Linked DNA regions of Cricetulus griseus. The protein of the gene in region 2 interacts with the protein of the main gene of each other region in a pairwise test. Links are inferred from orthologs where the notes say so. Each region holds a gene or a part of one and is shown on either strand. Other genes may lie near its edges.

Region 1 (4,949 bases), on a different chromosome or scaffold from region 2:
CACTACCTGGGTTACATGCTCAGCCAAACAACTTTTGAGCAAGAGTCTCATAAATCTAGGCTGGTCTCAAACTCCTGATCCTCCTGCCTCTACCTCCCAAGTGCTGGATTCTAGGCGTGTGTCACCATGACTTCTGGAAACTTGAGGAATCTGATTACGGTAGTGGCACTGTATGGAGAACTTTTGAGGCCAGGACATGGAGGGTTCAGGAAGGACCTACTAAACCAGCCAGGGAAGGGCTGGAGATGCTCCCTGGGAGTCTATCTCAGGCACATCACAACTGGAGTCATAGCAGGAAAAGGAAGGTGTCCTAAGCAAAGCAACAAGATGAGCCAATTATTATTATAATTGTGTACATGCACACATGAGCACATGTGTGAGCACACCATACACATATGGCAGTCAATGGATAACTTTCCATAGTCTCTTCTACCATAGGTTCCAGAGGTCAGACATAGGTCCCCAGGCTTATAAGGCAAGTAAGCTAGTTGGCTGGACCAAGCTGGTCATTTTTGTTTTGTTTTGTTTTCCAAGACAGGGTTTCTCTGTGTAGCTTTGGAGCCTATTCTGGCACTCGATTTGGAGACCAGGCTGGCCTCGAACTCAAGAGATCCTCATGCCTCTGCCTCCTGATTGCTGAGATTAAAGGCCGTGTGCCATCGTGTGCCATCAATGCCTGGCCAAGCTGGTCATTTTTAAATATCCTTAATTGAACAATTATTTTGGTACAGAGCCAGGCTCTTTGCATAGAAATTTCAGACAGGCATTGTGGTTCATAATTTTAATTCCAGTACCAAGGAGGCAAAGGCAAGTGGATCTTGAAGGGTTCAAAGATAGCCTGGTTTACACAGGGAGTTCCAGCCAGGCTAGCTAGGACTTCACAGTGAGACCCTATCTCAAAATAATAGTAGTAATATTATGATTATTATCTATAGCAATCTGGGCAAGGTAATGCATGCCTATAATCTCAGTGCTCAGAAGGTAGGGAAAGGATTGAAGCAAGTTCAAGGCCAGTCAAGGCTACATAGCAAAACCTAGTAAAATCCCCATATCAGAAAAAAAGAAGTGGTGGGTTAGCTCAGTCAGTAAAGTGCCTGCCTGCCATTAAACATTCAATCCCCCAAACTGCTATTTTTAAAGAGGGGAGTGGGCTAGAGAGATGACTCAGTGACTAAGAGCCTGTACTGCTCTTATAGAGGACCCCAGTTCCTAGCACCCATGATGGGCAGCTCACAACTACCTGTAACTCCAGCACCAGAGGGTCCAACACCTTGTGTACTCCACAGGCACTGGCACTTACATACGTACATACCCACACACAAACAATTACACATCATCATCAAAATAAACCCAGGGTGTGGTCACATGTGCAGAGACAGGGTAAAGTAGGAAGAGGGTAGAATGGATGGAGGACTGAACCTTGAGCTCTGGAAGGTTGAGAATCTGCTCGAATGACACTCGGGTGTGCAGCGACTCCTCCACGCTCCGATGCTCTGGGGGAAGCAACTCACAAAACCGCCTGTGAGCTCTGGCAGAGAGAGGGGGACTTACTGGTGCCTTCAGTCAGTCAGACTCCCTGTTTCCTACATTCCCAGTCTGCATTTTGAATGCCATATAAACCAGGTGTATAACTAAGTCACATAACCAGGACTTCCAGTCACTGGACAAACTTCAGCCAAAGAGAGGTAAGTTACAAAGTAGCAGAGGCTTGGAGTCCCTTCTTAGGGTGGGTATTTATGGAGGAGAGGAAGTATGTGTGTCTGCAGACACTGTCAGGCACTGTTCTGGCAGGAAAAGGATATTCTAGAGATAGTTGTACCCTGCCCTTTGGCTATCAGACTATAGAATCAGTGGTCCCCAAGATTCCCCAGTAATCTCATATTGTGAGAAGGATGAAGTCTGGTGTCAGCCAAGGAGGAAATGTCTACCAGAAAGAGATTTCACACAGTTCCAATAACTTGTCAGGTCACCTTTCATAAGAGAATGGAGCTGAGACAATGATGGAGACACCACATCTTGACCAGACTGCTTAGTTACACATAGCTCCTGCCCTGTGTTTAAATATAAACCTCACATCAGCTGGGCATGAAAATTGACTTGAGGGAGGGGGCCTGTCACTGGACCTCTTTGATACTTTTCCCTGTGTGGCCACACTGGATATATTTCGTTTCTCTGCATTTGAATATTTTCCCCTTAATTGGCCTACTGAGGGTAGGTAGCCAGACTAGCTAGTTAGGATTTCCTGTGGACCAAGTTCCTGGACCCTAACAATTACAGTAACAGTTTCAAAGATTCCTAAAGAGAGGTTAGGGAAGGAGCTGTAAGTGACCCTGAACAATGAGTGGCGGGGGTGGGGGTGGGGGGTGGGCGCGGCAAAAACACGATGTCATTTCAACTCCAGGAAATTCAACCCCTTCTCTCACCTACCACCTCTTTCCCAGTGGAATTTCATTGAGGAGACTAGGAACCTCCCTAGGTCAAGCATCCTGGCCATCAAATCACTTAAGTGTGCTTTATAAGCAAGTTACCAGAACCCTCTAAGCTGTTTCCTTGTTCTGTAATCTCCTCCTGAAGATTTAAGTAATGTGGGAATCACACAGTAGTTCCTGAGCAGAATAAGGCTCAGTAAACGTTAACGGTTACTGCATTAAACAGGTAAAGTTGGAAGAGCGAGCCAGGCGCCTCAAGGCTTCTAGTTTTTGCCAGAGGGCAAAGTCCGTATAGAGCCACAGCTGTTCCCGAAGATAGCAGGAAGCTCTGCAGTGAGGAGGCCAGAGGGGCTTAAACAGCCCAGCTTTTCCTGAATACACGGAGGTGTATGCGTGATGCAAAGCGGAGGCCCAAGCACAGGCGAAACTTGCACTCCGGGCCTCTGGTTCCAGATCCGCTGATCTTGATTTCTGTGAAACCCGACCCCATCCTCAAAGGAGAGGTGGCCAGTCCGTCCCCCACTAGGACAGCACCCCCAAAGGCCACCCCCCCGCAATCCCGCGGTGGAGGGCGGGGGACGGGGGTTGGGACAGCACTTACAGGAGGATCTCCTGCTTGGTCAGAAACGTCAGATCCTGAAAGACAAATCCAGACAAGGGTCGGCGAGCCGCCCAAAATCCACGGCCTCCCCGCCGCCGGCTTCCGAACCCCACTACCCGGCGCGGGCCCGCACGCGAGTTCCGCGAGAACTGGAGCCCCGCGCACCTGGTACTCGGCCAGCAGCTCCTTGGACAGGCGACTGCCCGAGCCTCCCATCGCTGCGATGCGCGCACAGCTCCGCCAACTCTCCCCGGGACTCCGGCAACTTTCTCACTTCCGTCCTCGGGGCCGCGTCCCCGCCCCGTTCCCACAGCAACCGCTGCCGGGCCTCCGCCCCCGGGCCCGCCCCTGCGTACAGTGCCCTGGCACCCTTGGCAAGGTTCAGCCAGCCGGCTCCCGGCTCCCCGCGGGCCCAGGCGAGCTGGAGGCAGGGCCCGGGGAGGAGCCGGACGCGCAGGGGCGGGGCCCAGGCCGCACGGCCCCGCCTCCAGAGGGGCGTGGCTAGTCGCGCCGCGCGCACGTGGTGCAGACTGCGCCTGCGTCGGGGGACACCACGCTCCTCCCTGTGTTCCAGGATGCGTCTGCTTGTGGAGTCTTGAGATGTATCCGCCTCACCTAGAGCAGGTGCTGGAGACCTCAGTCCTGGGTAGGGGCAGTTAACCTCCAGACTCACTCCGGGACTGGAGGAGATCCGGTGCCCCTCGGCCGAGAGGGACAGTCCCAGACCGTCTTACTGGACACGAGCTGCAGCCACGCCACCTTGCCGACTCTTCCAGAAGTAGCTTAGCTTGCTGCCTCTTGAAGCTGTTTACTGAGCACTCACTGGATTTGTGCAGTTATCGTCCATTCGTGGAACAGTTGACAAGGTAGGCTTCCGTTTTACCTAAGTCCAGTTTTAGTGATGTGTCAGGACTCGGGCGTTTAGAGGTCGGTCCTGTCCACAGATCCCTACTGCTGTTTTATCGTGACAGCTGACTTGCCTCCTTTGACCCCTTCCACAAAATGCAAGCTTCCAGCTGTAGAGACTAAGGTTGGTCTGCTTATTTGCTCTTTTCTCCGCTTAACCTCCAGGACATCCAAGTAATTATCAGATGCATGTGCGAATGAACAAATTTACACTACGTGAAAAAGCGAGGATTCCAAGCTGCTGGGAGGAGGAAGGAAAGGTGCATTCTGTGACAGTTAATGTTGGTGGTCTAGATTTTTTGAATTGGGAATGTGCACAGTGCCTTCGAGTGGTAGCCTGTACAAAAGGGAAACGGAAGAAGGAAACTGCTTTTGGCCTGTTTGCCTTCGCTTGCTGATAAGTACGTCTATCCTGTTACTGCCACCACGGAATTCCTTTGCTAACTTTAGAATCAGCCTCTTCCAGCTACCAGCTCAAACTAAAGGCCAGCAGCTCTTCAGCAACTCTCCAGGCCTTCAGCACCAGATTGGAATTGCCTAGACACCCATCCTTGTGGACTAAGCAACTAGCATTGTTTGTCTGCCCAGACCATGTTGAGTAAACCAATCTAATAACTCCCCGTTTAATGTATATTCACCAGTTCTGTTCCTGTAGAGCACTGGTTCTCAGTCTTCCTAATGCTTTGACTCTTTAATACAGTTCCTCATGCTGTGACCCTCATCTTGAAAATTATTTTTGTTGCTACTTGATAACTGTAATTTTGCTACTGTTATGTGTTGTAATGCTAATATCTATGTTTTCCAATGGTCTTAAGAGACCCTTGTGAAAGGGTCATTCAACACCCAAGGGGTCAAGACCTGCAGGTTGAGAACCACTGCTCTAGAGTAACCTAATATAGATTCATTCCCCCACACACACCCAGAAACTATGATATATAAGCAAAAGACCAATAATTTTTTTAAAAGCTCAAACAAAGCATTATGAGACAAAAAAGGAAATATCCCAAAATACT
Region 2 (4,986 bases):
TCTGATTTAAAATGATTTCCAGGCCATGATCTTCTATACTGGCTTGGCGATGAAATCTACACAATTAATAATAGCCTGCTTTGCTCTCAACTGTCTAGAGAGCCGAGGATGGCAGATCTATCCTCATCTCCCCATGTGTTCCATTAGACTGACATATTTTGCCTCATCTGTCACCTTCGATAAAACTCTGCTTTCAGATATGAGTTAATTCATTTTCAGTTGTCCTCGATGTTCTAAAATAGTGATGTTTGACAGAATTAATCCAGTGCTCTAGTTCTCTCTGTTCAACTGATATTTAATTAAAGATCTTGGAGGCCATCTTTTAGGCTACACGTTACAAGGAGGAGCATTACTTCCTCCTTGGACAATGTGCTGCGCCACATGGCAGAGGCTGCCTCCCTAAGGTGTCCTGTTCAACAGACTGCTCTCTTGCATAGCCACCACCAGCAGGACAGATAATCACTCTGTTTCACATGGCCTGATTCTCACATAGTTGAACCCCAATTCAACTACTGTCTACATTCTCTCTGACCTTTTCAGTGTCTAGAATTTTGTAGTGGCAATACTCCTCCCTCTATATTTTTTAATCATTGCTTTTGTTTCCCTAGAACCACAAAAGGTACTGAGAACACTTATTTCGTAATATTTCTTGAATCTCTGAAAACAGAAAATCTTTTAGCAGTCACAGCCACCCCTAAAGCTCACGCTTAGAAGGCTCTGCCTTACATTTCTGAATTAATATCTTTTGGAGGCCAGCCCACTTGAGTTGATATGTCATAATTTTCTATTCTGAAGGTGGCGTGGATAATTTAAATTGGCCCTTGCTGTTTATGACTTAAGTAATTGTTCTTTTGGACAGCCTTTAGGAAGCCTCAACTTCTCAAATCATGTTTGGACCATGCAGCAACCATAAGGGACCTGGGGATGGATGTAAGCAAACTCCAGGAGCCATAAACTAACAAGCAGACTCTAGGTGGTGGTATAGGTTATTTTTTATCACAATGTTTTGCTCTTAAAACTGGAGGACCCAGAGCAGCCCTAGCCTCAGCCACAAACACTTCTCCACTGCTAACTCACAATATTTCCGGATAGCTCAATTAGAAAAGTACAAGTTTAACAAAGTTTGGAAAACACAGGTTCTCAAGCTTCTCATGGGTTTTAAACCTGATGTTCCACGGTCTCAAAGGCAGCACAGGGACTCTCATCTGTGTAAAGGCAGCCACCGAACTAACTGCCCTCCTTATTTACTTCTTACCTGTTTTCCTCAAGCTCCTCCTGTACTTTGCAGGCTAACTTTGCAAAGAAATCTCCCCACCGGAGTACAAAGTGGCCTGGAGTAAGTATCCAGTCCTAGACTAAGCAGTAGTGCCTGCTATGTTACTGCTTCTCCTTTGTCTATAGGAACTAAGTAAGACCAAGCCTAGAAAGTTCCTATTGGTGTTGAAGCCAGGCTCCCTGAGTCAATTAAACCCTATGGTCATTACCAAACTGCTGGGCAAAACCAGGGCAACTAAGTCACTTGGAAGTAAAAGGACATTTCAACACACCCAGGCAGCAGCCACATTTAGGGGCCATGCGCATGAAGCACTGTTTGCTTAAAAAGTAGACTTACTTCACTGTCTCTTAGACAAAGGTGGCAAACTGGTGACTGAACATTGAATAACAGCATCGGGAAGGTGCCGCCCACTTGGTAAAACCTATGATTCACTAATAAGCAGGTTCAATGTAATTCATAACTTTAAAGAATGAATTCCTGAAGCCCCTTGCTTTACAAAACCCAGGAAATACGAAGACTATACATCATTTACGCATGTATAGGTGTGTACACAGACACAGACAGGCAGGCACACCGATCTTGTTTTACTTTGAGACAGTCTCTCTCTTCCTCTAAAACACGGTTTTCCCTCAGTGTCACAATCATTTACATTAGCAGACAAACTCAAGCCTGATGTCACAAAAATGAGTTAAAAGTTCTTGCACCTAAGAACGTAGGGACTTTACCACCAACTAAAATGACACACTAATTTTTAAAAAGTATCTTAACATAAAATTACCTAACGTTCTGTTCTTCGTTTACGACCGCCAGAATCCAATTAAATTACTGACATGATGGAAGGTAGAAACTCCTGGAATGCCTCAGAGATCAACATGTGTCAGGCTCACCGCCTGTCCGCCTTTTAAACACAGTGGATTCCTTTGTTCCTTCAGTCTGAACATCAACTCCTGATTAAAATTTGGAAACTACTTTGGGAAGGATGGGGGTGGGGGTCCGGAGAGTGTTGCCACGGACGAGGGTTTCCTCAAACCGGAGTAAGGAGGAGAGTGGCACAAGAGAGAAGAGCGTCTCCGAGGACTTCAGCAGGCTCACACTAAACGCAAAGCCCGCTCTCGGATGCTGGGGAAAAACTAGGCTGAGGCCTCCGGTGCAAGGAGCCTCGCCCTCCCTCGGCAGGCGGGGACCTGGTGCCCAGCAGGCCGGGCCTGGGGCTCAGCGCTGTCCCTGTCCGAGTCACTTTTCCCTGCCGGGAATCGGCGAGCACCGCGCAGGGAGGCACCAACTAAAGGCGGGGAGCAGCGCGGGCGCCACCGCGGGCACCGCTGGGCGGCAGGACCGAGCGGCGCAGCAGCCAGCGCCCGGGGCTCGGGGCCAACAGGAGCAGCCGAGCGGGCTCGACCCGGGCCCCGCCACCCGGCCACCCGCGTGGGTCCCGGCTCAGCACACCCAGGGAGGCTGCGCCCCTCGCGCCACGGCTGGCACGGACGATCCCACGGCTGGGAACTCTACAACTTGGCGGCCGCGTCGGCGCGGGGGGGGGGGGCGGCCGCGAGTTCCCGGGGAGACCCGGAGCCGGGCGCGGCGGCAAGCTGTCCCCGGGATCCGTGTGGCCGGCGTCCCCCGTGGGCCTCCCCGGCCTCCGCCGCCTCCCCGGGCCGGTCACCCAGGCCGTGCCCGGGTGGCTCGGCGTCCGCTCTGCCAGCTCTGCACCGAGCCCGGGCCGCGATCGCCACTCACCGAGGCCGCCTCGGCTCCGGGCCGCCGATCCGCGTCGCTCCCTCCTTCCCGGGTGAGCCGTGCCCTGCGGCCGCGCGAGGCCACGGGCGGTGCGCACGGGCGGGCTGGGGCCGGCTCGTCCTCCGCCTGCACCGCGATCGCCGTCGCCTCCCGAGTTCGGGGCTCTGCTGCAATGTCTGCGAGGCTGACTTTGAGCGCCTCGCTCGCCGCCCGCCCGCCGCAGCCGCGCTCCTCCCTCCGCCGCCGAGTTCGCGGCGGCCGGGTCCCTCCCCTCGCTGCTCCACGCCATTCAGCTCTTCAGCCAAGTTTCTTAACCCTTTTCTGCCCCTCCCTCCCATTGTCACCCGGGTTGATCGCGTACCCGGCGGCTCGCTGGAGCTGGGGAGCCTATCCGGCTCCTGCAGGCCTCCTCTCCGGTGCTCCGGGTGGGAGACCCGGGGCTGCGCGGCCTTGAAGGTAGAGAGAGGACACAGTTCGACCGGGAAAGGGGGGTGCCTTGCTCTCCGAGCAGGAGCCCTGGCTTTCCGGCCCCGTCCAGCCGCCTGGACAGATTGTCCCTAGGGACCAGGTGATCGTCCATGTCACCCAGGCTTGGGCAAGCGTTGTGAGCACCGCAGAGGAATAAAGACACCCTGACCCTTCCCTGGGGTCTCCACCTAGGGGCTGGCACCTTAAGGGTCTCCCTTCCTCCCATTTCACCCACAGCACGCGTTCTCTTGACTGCCTTTTACCCACCCTAATTTCCACCTCCTAGAAATCTGTGTCCCGCTTAAAATCAGGAAGGACGGCGCTATAACTCTAGGTCATTTTGACCCCATGCCCACAGCACCTAGTAGGACCCAGTAATTAATGTGGCGTGATTCCAAGCGGAAAACTGGGAAGGAGACCTGAGGAGTGCCCAGCTCAGCTCCCTAGACGGACGCAGGACCCAGGAACCGGGTTTATCTTCAGCTGCTTTGTCACTGCGAAGTCTCCAGCAGGGTCTGTCGGGCCATCTGCACCACCCCCAGGAAGGATCTGACCCAACAGGACTAGGAGATGGGCTGTCACCTCTTTAAGCAGCTGTGCTCGGTTCAGAGTCTCAATAAATAACAATTACATCACGAAGCCAGGGTGGCAGTACAGTGAAACCTGGGTTTCCTGCAGCCTTGTCTTGCTGAACCCGCCTCTAAATTTGAGGGGGGCTACAGATTGGTGAAGCGAAAAAGTGGAGGGAGGAGAGAATAATAAGAAACCATGATCTCGCCCTCTCGTGTTTTCCGCTTTAAAATCCTCTCCTCGCGAACATTACTTGTGAAGACTCCTTCTGACGCCCCTCCCCACCCAGATGTCACGTTTCCTTTTCACTTTAGTATCTCTCCATGAAAAGAATTACCAGCGGAAAAAGAGTGGTTGTAAAAGTTGGTTTTATTTGACATAAAAAAAAAAACAAAAAACTGAAGTACATTTTCACTTCACCCTGAACTGTAAAGTGGTATGGCTGCGTTAAAATACTCACTGGATAAGACAAATTTGTGGATGAAGGTATCTACTGTCATGCATTTTTGGTAGCATTTGGAAACAGTTACTGATGCACATAGAAACCAAAGATGACCTAAGTGATCAAACTGTATTCTTTACTGTTATGTAATAGTTATACAGCCGGCTATTTTTCAAATGAGCAAGGTCTAGAGTGCCTTCCCAATCTTGAAAGCGAAAGCAGTTTTTCAAATTAATTCTTAATAAAGCGATATCCTAGCACAGTCCTGAACCCATGTCAGGAATATTTTGGCTAGTGGTGATGGTACATTTTAAGATACATATTATCTCTCCCAGTGAGTCACCTGTGCAATCTGTTGTCATCTAATGTAGTGTAAATCTCATGTAACAGAGTAGTATTTGTGTATGCCACAGTTCAAAATCTGCTCAAAGCACGTTAGTAAAAGCATCATTTATCTCGGATTGACAAAAAGCAAATAACTGCAATTAAATGA
Region 3 (4,930 bases), on a different chromosome or scaffold from region 2:
CACACATTAGTCAGGATTCCCAGTTTAAGATAAAATGATTTCTGATCATGAAAACGTGCTTCTGAATTTTACTTTTTAAACTTGTGTTTGACAAAAGCCCACCTCCACAAGCAGTCCGGATAGCCGGGCTGCTAGAAGCCTGTCTGCTGCGTGTGTGTGAACAAAATGCCACCTCCCGAGTGCCGTATCCTGGGCCTGCAGATGTGGATAACTTCGACAGGCTACCTCCATTCTTCCTCCACCTGTCTGTCCATCCTCCTCCCCGACCACAAGCATCCTATTCCAACTCACACTCACCAGAAAGAGTTTCCTGGACAAGAAAAATGCATATAAATTCATTTCTCTTCTTCCTCCTTTTTTTTTCCTCTAAGACACAATCTCATGTAGCCCAAGCTGGCCTGAAAATTGTTATGCAGCCTAAACTCCCTGGTCTTCCTGCTTCTATATTCTGAGTTCTAGGATTATAGGCAAGCACCACCATGCCTGATTCATGCAATGCTGTGGATGGAGGCCAGGGCTGTGCACATGCCAGGCAAGCTCTCTGCCAACTGAGCCACATCCCTGGACCATTAGGTACACATTTTTTAGCACCAAGCATTCTTGCTGTTTCTGTTTAGCAGTTACTACCTTCACATGTATCTTTTCCAAAGCAAAATAGTAAGGTCCCCAATCAATTTTAAGTTAGGAACAAAGAAACTTACTCTAAAATAACCATAAAACTGACCGCTAATAATTGACTTACATGAAACTCTTTAAAACTATATGTGTATCTTCCAAAATGAGAGACAGCTAATCCCTCTCTATCATAACCCTCAGGGTGGTATTTTTTTTAAGCTTAAATTCAACTGTCTGTAAACAAGACTGCAATAAGCATAATTTTTCAAATGTCTATCACAATGTACTAAACACTGAATTATGAGACCTAATACCCACGCATTCAGTTTTCAAGGGCTTTGCATACAATCAACAAAAAATTACCAGCAAGTGATTGATGTTTACTCCTCAGAATTTTATGTAATCATTTCCTAATATATTCCATAAAATGACTAGAAACATCAACTAAAATTTTATCATGAAATAAATTTTAAGGTATGGCCTGTTGAATTACAGTGACTTAGTCTTCACAAAGGGCATAACGCCCATTAAAGGCAAATTATATATTTGATAGGTTGAACTGAGTACCGAGTTTTACCTTTGTATATTAAAAATCCATTCTGAGGAATGTCAACTCTGACTCGAACCATTTGGCTTCCTAAACCCTCCTTGAAATGGCCCTACATGTGTTTTTTGTTTATTTCAAACACTTAGATATCTTGAGCAAGACTAAAAGTGTTCCTTTTAACACTGGTTTTGAAATAAGAATTTCAGATTCCTCCAGAAAACCACCGAACATAAAATGGAATGCTAAAGTTTCTGCTTTAACACTTAGTGACCTTTTACTTTGTTCAGACAGAACGTCTGTTAGAGCAGTGGTTCTCAACCTTCCTAACGCTGTGACCCTGTAACATAGTTCCTCATGTTGTGGGGACCCCAACCATAAAATTATTTTTGTTGCTACTTAGTGACTGCAATTTTGCTACAGTTATGAATCGTAATGTAAATATTTTTGGAGATAAAGGTATGTCATGGGGTGTGAGCCACTCTACAGGCTTTCTTGGAGAAGAAAGTGAGTTAAGCATTTATCACACTCTTTTCATTGTCCCCATATAGCTGCCGTCTAATCTTCCCATTCACTTTTTAAATAACATTTACAGGGAAAGAGAGGAAATATCACCATGAGTGGAATCATTACAGCAGAAACAAAACTTCAAGTGGAAACACTTGAAATAGAACAAAACAAAACTCCTTCCTCTGGAGTGCTGCTTGCTGCGCAAAACACACCTGCCTTCTAAAACGTAAGAATTACCAACAAGCTTCCTTTCTGAACAGAGCTCCACTCAAATTCAAAGTTTTGTTTCTCACACACAAAAACAATATTCACTTGACCCAATTTTCTGCTTCCACTGTGAAACAGTTATCACAGGTAATCGTGAAGAAGCAACAGTTAGATTCCTCTCCAGCAAATAAGAGAGATCAGATTTAACGTATCTGAGACTACCCAGAAAGAAAAGATAAATCTATTTCTGACATGACTAAGGACTACCATGACCAAGCCGTGATCACCGGCCTGAAATAGGCACATCTTCCCTGGTCCACGATACTCAGGCAAAAAGCTTCATCATTTCATCCACCACCAGGAATCCACGGAAGAAAACCACGGGAATTTTCTTTTTTTTTTTCCAAAAAAAAAAAAAAAACAGTTATATTCACACAACCAACCCAAAAGTCAGCAAAATTTCTGTTTCCAGTGGTGTCCAAGCAGTTGCATCCATCCTTCTGCCCCTTTATTGTTCTAAATATTGCTGGCTTCCCATTGCAGGAATCCACACAAAGTCAATGAAACCACACTCTGAGCCAAAGGGCACTTACCTGGCATTCTCTAAAAGCAGACACGTGCTTTCCTTGGTCCCCACGCAGAACTCACAGCAGCCGTTCAGCCCAGCTGGAACTGCCAGACTCTACTCAGACCGGGTGCCAAGGATGCCAGTCGCAGCACAAGCAGCTCCCTCCCGGCCAGGCTCCCCTCGCCCGCCCCCCTCTACTCCCGGGAAGTTTCAAGGGGTGGTTCTAGAAGCCTAGCAAGAGACAGGGACCTGGGAGTTGGTTTCAAAAAGGCCAGCAGCTGGAGAGGCTGCAAAGATTACCCGCGACTAACGGCGTTAGTGAGTCTTCCTTTTAAAGACGGTGAAGAGGGGGTGGGTGGTTAGCTGAAGAGCCCACGTGACCGCGAACCCGGAGCTGGAGATCTCCGGCACTCCGGCGCTGCGCCTCCACATCCACTGGATGTCCACTTCCAGCCATCTCACAGCCACCCACTAGGGACGCCCCCTCCCTGCCCAAGAGACTGACAATGGAGGACCGAGAGAATGGGCATTTCTGACCAGGTCCCCAGGGATTCTGAAGTTGACAGTGCGGGTCCACACTTGATCCTGTCTCCAGTCTTTGACCCAAGCGGATGTCATTAAACGCTTAAGTCTGACAACTATCCTTGAGAAGCGTGGACCAGGCCCTGGGTTCGGGTAATAGCATCGAAAGGGGCAGTAATAACGGAGTCATGAAGCCAGATAGGTCCCTTGCAGGGAGCGTTAGCTTGATCCCCAGAAAGGCAAAGCCACCGGCTGAAGGTGGAAGCGTGGATACTCATCTCTCAGAGTCTGACGGCGGGGGTGAGGAGAGAGAATGAAGGGGAAAAAAGTCTTGGATTAGGTCCAGGATCTCGGGTGCCTCCTGGAATTCACCTGGAGAAAAGCCCCTTACGCTTTTATAGGGCTCCTCCCACCGTGGCGGCGAGGGTCTCTGGCGCCCCCTGACGGCAGCCCTGATTCTCCCAGCTCTGAAGGTTGTCAACCTTCCCCATTCATCTGGAAGTGGTCCTACTATGCAAAGATTGCGATCATATCTTAGTCTCTGAGAAATAATTGACTGTAAGGCAGCCACTGATGGGAAAAGGTAAAAGGAAACCAAATGACCTGTAGGCTAACGAGGTGTCACATGTGTACCTAATCAGTCATCAAACCATCCACACACTGCGCGGGGGACATGTTTATGAAGGGTTTTAAAGATCTACCTTTTAATCTTTTTAATTATGTGCACGTGGGCATGAGCTCATGCGAGCAGATCCCACAGAGACTATAGGTGTAGGATTCCCTGGAGATGGAGTTATAGGAGGGTGTGAGCCCTGGGGCATGGGTGCTGACAACAGAATTAGACTTTTTTTTTTTTTTTAATGGTTTTCCAAGACAGGGTTTCTCTGTGTAACAGTCCTGGCTTTCCTGGAATTCACTTTGTAGACCAGGCTGACCTAAAACTCACTGAGATCTGCCTGCCTCTACCTCCCAAGTGCTGGGATTTAAGGGTGTGCCTCCACCACCTAGCCAGATTTAGGCTTCTTTTCAAGAGGACTATGCTATCTCAACAGCTGGGGTGTCTCTCCAGACTCAGGACAAGGTTCTTGGTGGGTGGTGGTCTAACAGAGGGAGACCAAGGGGATATTTTGAGGGAAACTTGTACAATGCCAACCTCGACTGTTTGGATGTAACCAACATGTTACACACCCACAATGTATTATTACATACGAACAACAATGTGTTCTTAATTTTAAAAATCACCTGGAATGGAACATCAGTGAAGCACTGTCAATCAAGAGCCAAGAGGCAGGTAAAGGTGGAGTGGGGATAAAGAAAGCATCTATGGAGTATGTATAGCAAGCCAGACTGCACAGCAGCTCATTTAATGTTTATACCAGTTCTGAGAGGCAGGTAATACTGGCCCCACCTTCCCGACAAGGACTGGAGGCTCACAGAGCTTACATCCACAATATGAAGCTACAAGATAAGAATGTACCCAGTGAGGTTGGAGAGGTGGCTCAGAGGTTAAGAGCACTGGCTGCTCTTTCAGAGGTCCTGAGTTCAATTCCCAGCAACCACATGGTGGCTCATGACCATCTGTAATAAGATCTTGTACCCTCTTCTGGCCTGCAGGGATACATGCAGGCAGAATTCTACGTACATAATAAATGAATAAATCTTTAAAAAAGACATAAAAAAAGAACACACCCAGTAGCAACAGTGGTTTTTATACACAGAGATCGCTTACTGGCCATTTAACTACGTGCTACTTTCGGGTGTGTGTGTTTTAACTAGATTTCCATTGCTATGATAAACACCAATACCAAAAGCAACTTAGGGAGGAAAAAGTTTATTTCAGTTTACAGTTATAGTCCATAAAGAGAGGAAGTCAAGTCAGGTCAGGAGCTGATGCAGAGGCCATGGAGGGGTGCTGCTTACAGGCTTGCTCCTTTTAGCTTGCTCCAGGATGCTTTCTTATACAA
Region 4 (4,872 bases), on a different chromosome or scaffold from region 2:
TTAAGAGACAGGAGGGCATGGCTGGAACTTGGGACATGGTCAGAAAGGTTGTGCTGCGGGTCAGGACAATGACCTCAAGAATCAGAGCCTTTCAACACCCCGCTTTCCCTACAGCTTCCCCAGAAATAGTCTCTCAAATGTCCCAAGCAGAGGCACTACTGTGTAGTCTGATCTGGGGGTAGGTTGCTGATTGACCCACAGGGAGACTGCTCCATCCTAGACACTGTTTGTGTCTGGCAAATTGACCTGACTCAGGACAGTTGCCATTGCCAGAAGCAAACCTTGAAGTCAAAGCTCTGAAAGGACCATTTGAGAAGGGAGACAGTGTGTGTGGTGGGGGCAAGCATGGTGTAAGGAGTCGATAGCATGCTCACAGGCGAAGGGCAAAGCCAAGTTTCACGGCAGCTCCTCCCCCAGCAGAGTCTGTTCCAATGGTCTGCTTAGCAGCCTTGTGCAAGGGAAAGATGATTTGATTCTTCTGTCTCGAGTCTTAATTGGCACTCAAGTTCAACTATTAGAAGACTTCTGGATAGTCTCATTCTACACTCCCTCCACCCCCAGGGGGAATATTGGGCATTAAACCTCCAAAAGGCTTCTTATTTCATCTTTAATGAGCAAGCAGCCGAAGGTGGGATGGGACAGTAAGAGATCAGAGAGACCCAGACTTTTTCTTTACCAACTTCCCTTCAGGCTGCCTCAGGGGAGTCTTCTTGGATTAAACCTAGTGAACTGTCCTGGGCAGCTTGGTCACCCTGATCTTCTCTAAGACAAAGGTGTCTGTCGGTTCACACTGGGGACTAGCCCTTGCCTTAAATCCTTCAAGCCAGGGGTCTCCTATGGGAGCAGCAGCAGAAGCAGCAGGTCAAGGTAAGCGCAAGGAAGCCGCGCTCTGCTCCGCCTCTCTGAGGCTTAAGGGGTTTGTAGCTTGGCTACAGGATTAGTTCAGGGGACCAACTGCAGTGGCACTTGGTTTCTGACCCTCAGGTAGCTTGAACCTAGCCATGGGGGAGGGGGATTGTTGGAGCGGAAGAAAAAGCCAACCCCCTAGTTGGCAGTTTCAATTGGGAGCGAAGGAAACCGAAAGGAAAGAGTGTGAGATGGTGAGGTGGGGCAGAAAACGATAAACAAAAACCCAGTTTCTCACTAAGTAAAGGAGCTCTCGCCACCAATTCCTGTAGTACAATTTCTTGAAAGAATTTGGATAGTGGAGCATGTGACCATCCCGTGACTGGGACAATCAGCTCTTGTCACTGCTCACAAACACACTGTGATCCTAACTTTCAGTGTCAATCAAGACACTCACCAAGACACCTTTGTCACTTATCTGGAGTCCTATACCCATGGGTAATGGGCAACTTTTTTTCCATCGCTTTCCTCCTGCCTTGTCCTACAGAGCCCAGGCTCCAAGGCGGTGGCCCCAGCATCTGTATGCCATTGAGGTCAAGCCAGGACTAGAGTTCTTCGAGGATGATCAGGGTGAGGGTCGTGCCCACTCCCCCTTAAAGGGAGTAGGGTTAGTGCATGGGAGCAGGAAGCAGGGTGGTTGAAGATTGGTATTTGTGGGCCCTATTCGAAATGTGTCCTGCTGAAAGCACTTCTATCCAGGAGGCAGAAGGGTTCGGAGACTCGACTGTCGCCTATTTCTGTTTTTATGATCTGGAGGGACTTGTGAATCCGAGAGAAAAGCCCCCATAGGAACGCAATGCACCAAGGAAGGGACGCTCGGATGTTGGGGCTGAGTGTCCCGACATGTTCAGATGTCCCAAGTCAGGAGGGCATCCAGTGGCTTCTTTAAGAAGAGAGGGAAGTTGTGTCCCACTGTAAAGCGAGAGAGGAGGAGTCCCGGACAGAGTGCAAGCAACTTGTGCCACAGGAGAGGAGATCTACAAACTGACTCCTGAAGCCCACCTATTCAGCTATGCAGGGGACACCTCTCTGTCATCCCCGCGGGCCACTTGGGCAGCATCGTTTGCCCTGAGGTGGCACCGCTGCTGGTGGCAGGGGCCCTGGACAGAAGGTGCACTTAGCACTAGCTCCCACTACGGTTCTTTATCTCAGACATAGCCTTAAGTCTCCTGAACTTTCTTTCTCCTAGCAACTCTTTTTTTGGGAAGGGACCCAGCCAGAGCGAAGAGCAAAGGGAAAAGGGGAACCCGGGAAGGTCCTGCCATAGGCTTTTGCGTCCAGTTTCCGGGAGCATCCCATGTTTACTATTCCTGAGAAGGTACGCGCTTGTAGACTGGGATGCTCCTGAGTCTGGCAGTTTGGCCCAGTGTTCACCTCCGGCCAGCGACTACAACGTGACCCGGGCTTCCAGCTGCCTCTACCCAGTCATCCTGCTTCCTGTTCTCCTCTATCCCGTGTCCTGTGGCGCACCCGAGAGTGACGCGCAGAAAAGATGAGAGCAAGTCCAGAACTGAGAGAAGCGACTATCGCTGTCCCGGTCTCCAAAAAGCGCCCTCCCGCGTCCTGCCGAAGTCCCGAGCCTTCCACACATTCCCACAACTTTCCAAGCCCAGGCCATTTGCAGTCCCACCTGCGAACCGAACTAGGGGAGCTGCTCACAGCAAACCTCTCTTCCCTTGGGCCGAGAGCGCTCCCCTCCCCCCTCCCCAGCTCCGGGTCTGGCTGGAGTTGGCTGGCCTCGGGGACCCTGGGTGCCCGTGGGCTCGCTTACCTCGCATGGTGTGGCCGCTGTCCTGCTCCGCGTAGTCATGAAGCTCCCAGCCCGAACCCCAGAGAACCCAAAAATCCCGCTCAGCACGAGGGAAGACGGCGGTCTGAGAAGAGCTGCTCCGCCGAGAGAAGCATCCCTTCAGGCAGACGTCGTGGCCACAGCGTGACGGTGGCCGCCGCCGCTAAGCTAACAGTTTTGATGACTGTTGTTGCTGATGACTGTTTTTGATGGCTGTTTGTTTGTTTTCAGGCAGGGTGGAAAAAAATGTCCTGGCTGGCTGGTGCCTGGGTTTTGTTTTGCTTTTGTTTGTTTGTTTGTTTCTTTTTTCTTTCTCTCCAATGTGCTTGCTTAAAAAAAAAATGCCACCGCCTCGGGCTCGGAGATTTCTTTTGTGATCACTTGGACTGAGGAGGAGGAGAAGGGCAGCCGCAGGAGGAGGAGTTGGTGGTGGTTTTGTTAGTTACAAAGAAGAGGGAGAACGATCAAGGGGGGAAAAAAGGAAACAGAAAAGAAAGAAATGCGGTGTGGATGGCAGAGCATGTGCGTTTTCACATGACATCTGTGCCTGTTAGCGGATCCACAATGTGAATTTTCACTGTTCAGTTGCAGAGAGGAAGGGAGCGAGAGAGAAAGAGGAGAGAGGTGGAGAGAGCGAGCGCAGAAGAGGCTTATACGCGAGGGCGGGTTTGGCCGTACTTCCTGGCCCCGCCTCCTGTCAGCGCCACGGCCAATCAGCGCCCCGCAGCGCGTGGAAAGGCTGGGAAGGCGGGGGAGGGGACGCGCTTGAGGACAGGGGGCGGGGCCGCGGACTCCGGTGTCCTAGGCTGCGGGGACTCAGACTGGGAATTAGAGATGGTCCTATCTGGGGTCGGATCTGGGCCGAGTGTAGCGTGCCTGGGAGTGAGGCAGATCTGTGAGGGACGTGCACTTCTGACTCCAGTAGTTAGAAAGGGACACTGGGTAGTTCTTTGGAAGCAGGAGCCCACGGGACCCGCCGGGCTGCACACAGCCCTCTCTCACACAGTCCCTCTCTCACACAGCCCTTGGAGAGTTTCGTATTTACAGAAGCGCTTTGAAGAGTCCCATAACGTCCGCTCCTCTGGCAGGGCTTTACTGTGGCAGGACGCTTCAGCCTTTAGAGGTAGACTACAAAACCACACCCCTCTAGCTCCAGGCAGCTTCTTTTAGAGACTGTTCCAATGTTCCCCTCTCTTCACTCTAATTGGCTAGTCTCTGGTCCTTCCTTCCCTCCTTTCCCTCCCTTCTCTCTCCTTTACTACTTCACTCTCCCCCCACCCCACCCTTCTCCTTAGTTTCAGGTTCCTTTGTCAAGGACATGGACTTCTTCAGCATTTGGAAATCCTCTGACCCCTGGTTGCAGGACTTAAGGACAGGCTCATTTGGCTTTTCGGTCACCTCAGTGATAGGTCACTTGGCAAAGAGGCTAGACTAGAATAGAAGGCAAGACAGTGTGGATTCTATTCAGTTGGTGAAGGTTTAAAGAGCAAGACACGTGGCTGGTTGCTCTTCAGAGACACCCATTTAGGGGAGCTTGACACTAAAACAATCGTCGTGCTACTTGCATTCCTTAGATAAAATTTGTCACCTATGACAGTTTACTTGCAGTCTGAAAAAAAAATGAATCACACTTACCAAAAGTGTTTCTTTGCATAGTTTCCTTCTTTGTCGATGAAGCAAACACATTGTATCGATGCATGGCATCATAATTTTCTTCTGTGTAGTTAGGGACTGCTTTAATAATTTGCTTAATCGGTCATAGCAAGACTGGAAGTGCAAAAGTTTGCTTGATTGTTCAGTTAGAAAGCATAGAAACGGGACTCAATAGCACACCCATTGGGAACAACTTGATTTTTTTTTTGCCAGTATTTATTCATTCTACTTTCTGTAATACAAAATATGTTGTAGAATGGCTGGTGTTCAGTCCTCTGTATACACTGTCAACTACCTGCCCCTCCAATAAGAAATGAATCACTTCTTGACTCTTCACCAGTGTTCAGCTAATACACTTCTGTGTGCCTTTCCATTTGCAAGCCCATGTGTAATTTAGGAACATTTTGTGGAAACAGGAAAAGTTGATTGAGTCATTAATTAAATGAAACGAACAAAAGGAAGGTATTATTCAGGATAGCTATTCCTCACAAACACCTTTCTCCTAGATTTTTAATTGACACAGT

What was found. The genes of interacting proteins can lie anywhere in the genome.
Region 1: the proteins of Nrip1 (region 2) and Cib1 interact in a two-hybrid assay, tested with the Homo sapiens proteins (2 studies listed by BioGRID and IntAct). The link is inferred for Cricetulus griseus from reciprocal best matches to the Homo sapiens genes NRIP1 and CIB1.
Region 3: the proteins of Nrip1 (region 2) and Esr2 interact in a two-hybrid assay, tested with the Homo sapiens proteins (2 studies listed by BioGRID, with this or other methods). The link is inferred for Cricetulus griseus from reciprocal best matches to the Homo sapiens genes NRIP1 and ESR2.
Region 4: the proteins of Nrip1 (region 2) and Rorb interact in a two-hybrid assay, tested with the Homo sapiens proteins (2 studies listed by BioGRID). The link is inferred for Cricetulus griseus from reciprocal best matches to the Homo sapiens genes NRIP1 and RORB.

What each region holds. Positions count from the first base shown.
Region 1 is NC_048596.1:117,372,506-117,377,454, reverse strand, and holds the start of Cib1 (calcium and integrin-binding protein 1), read right to left. Parts: upstream 3,353-4,949; 5' UTR 3,247-3,352; coding exon 3,196-3,246; intron 3,066-3,195; coding exon 3,031-3,065; intron 1,529-3,030; coding exon 1,420-1,528; intron 1-1,419. UniProt on the Homo sapiens protein: Calcium-binding protein that plays a role in the regulation of numerous cellular processes, such as cell differentiation, cell division, cell proliferation, cell migration, thrombosis, angiogenesis, cardiac hypertrophy and apoptosis.
Region 2 is NC_048597.1:18,833,585-18,838,570, reverse strand, and holds the start of Nrip1 (nuclear receptor-interacting protein 1), read right to left. Parts: upstream 3,144-4,986; 5' UTR 3,014-3,143; intron 2,660-3,013; exon of another isoform or gene 2,055-2,659; intron 1-2,054. UniProt on the Homo sapiens protein: Modulates transcriptional activation by steroid receptors such as NR3C1, NR3C2 and ESR1. Also modulates transcriptional repression by nuclear hormone receptors.
Region 3 is NC_048598.1:127,302,051-127,306,980, reverse strand, and holds the start of Esr2 (estrogen receptor beta), read right to left. Parts: upstream 3,353-4,930; 5' UTR 2,745-3,352; exon of another isoform or gene 2,549-2,744; 5' UTR 2,470-2,548; intron 1-2,469.
Region 4 is NC_048596.1:42,062,253-42,067,124, reverse strand, and holds the start of Rorb (nuclear receptor ROR-beta), read right to left. Parts: upstream 3,353-4,872; 5' UTR 2,685-3,352; coding exon 2,678-2,684; intron 1-2,677. UniProt on the Homo sapiens protein: Nuclear receptor that binds DNA as a monomer to ROR response elements (RORE) containing a single core motif half-site 5'-AGGTCA-3' preceded by a short A-T-rich sequence.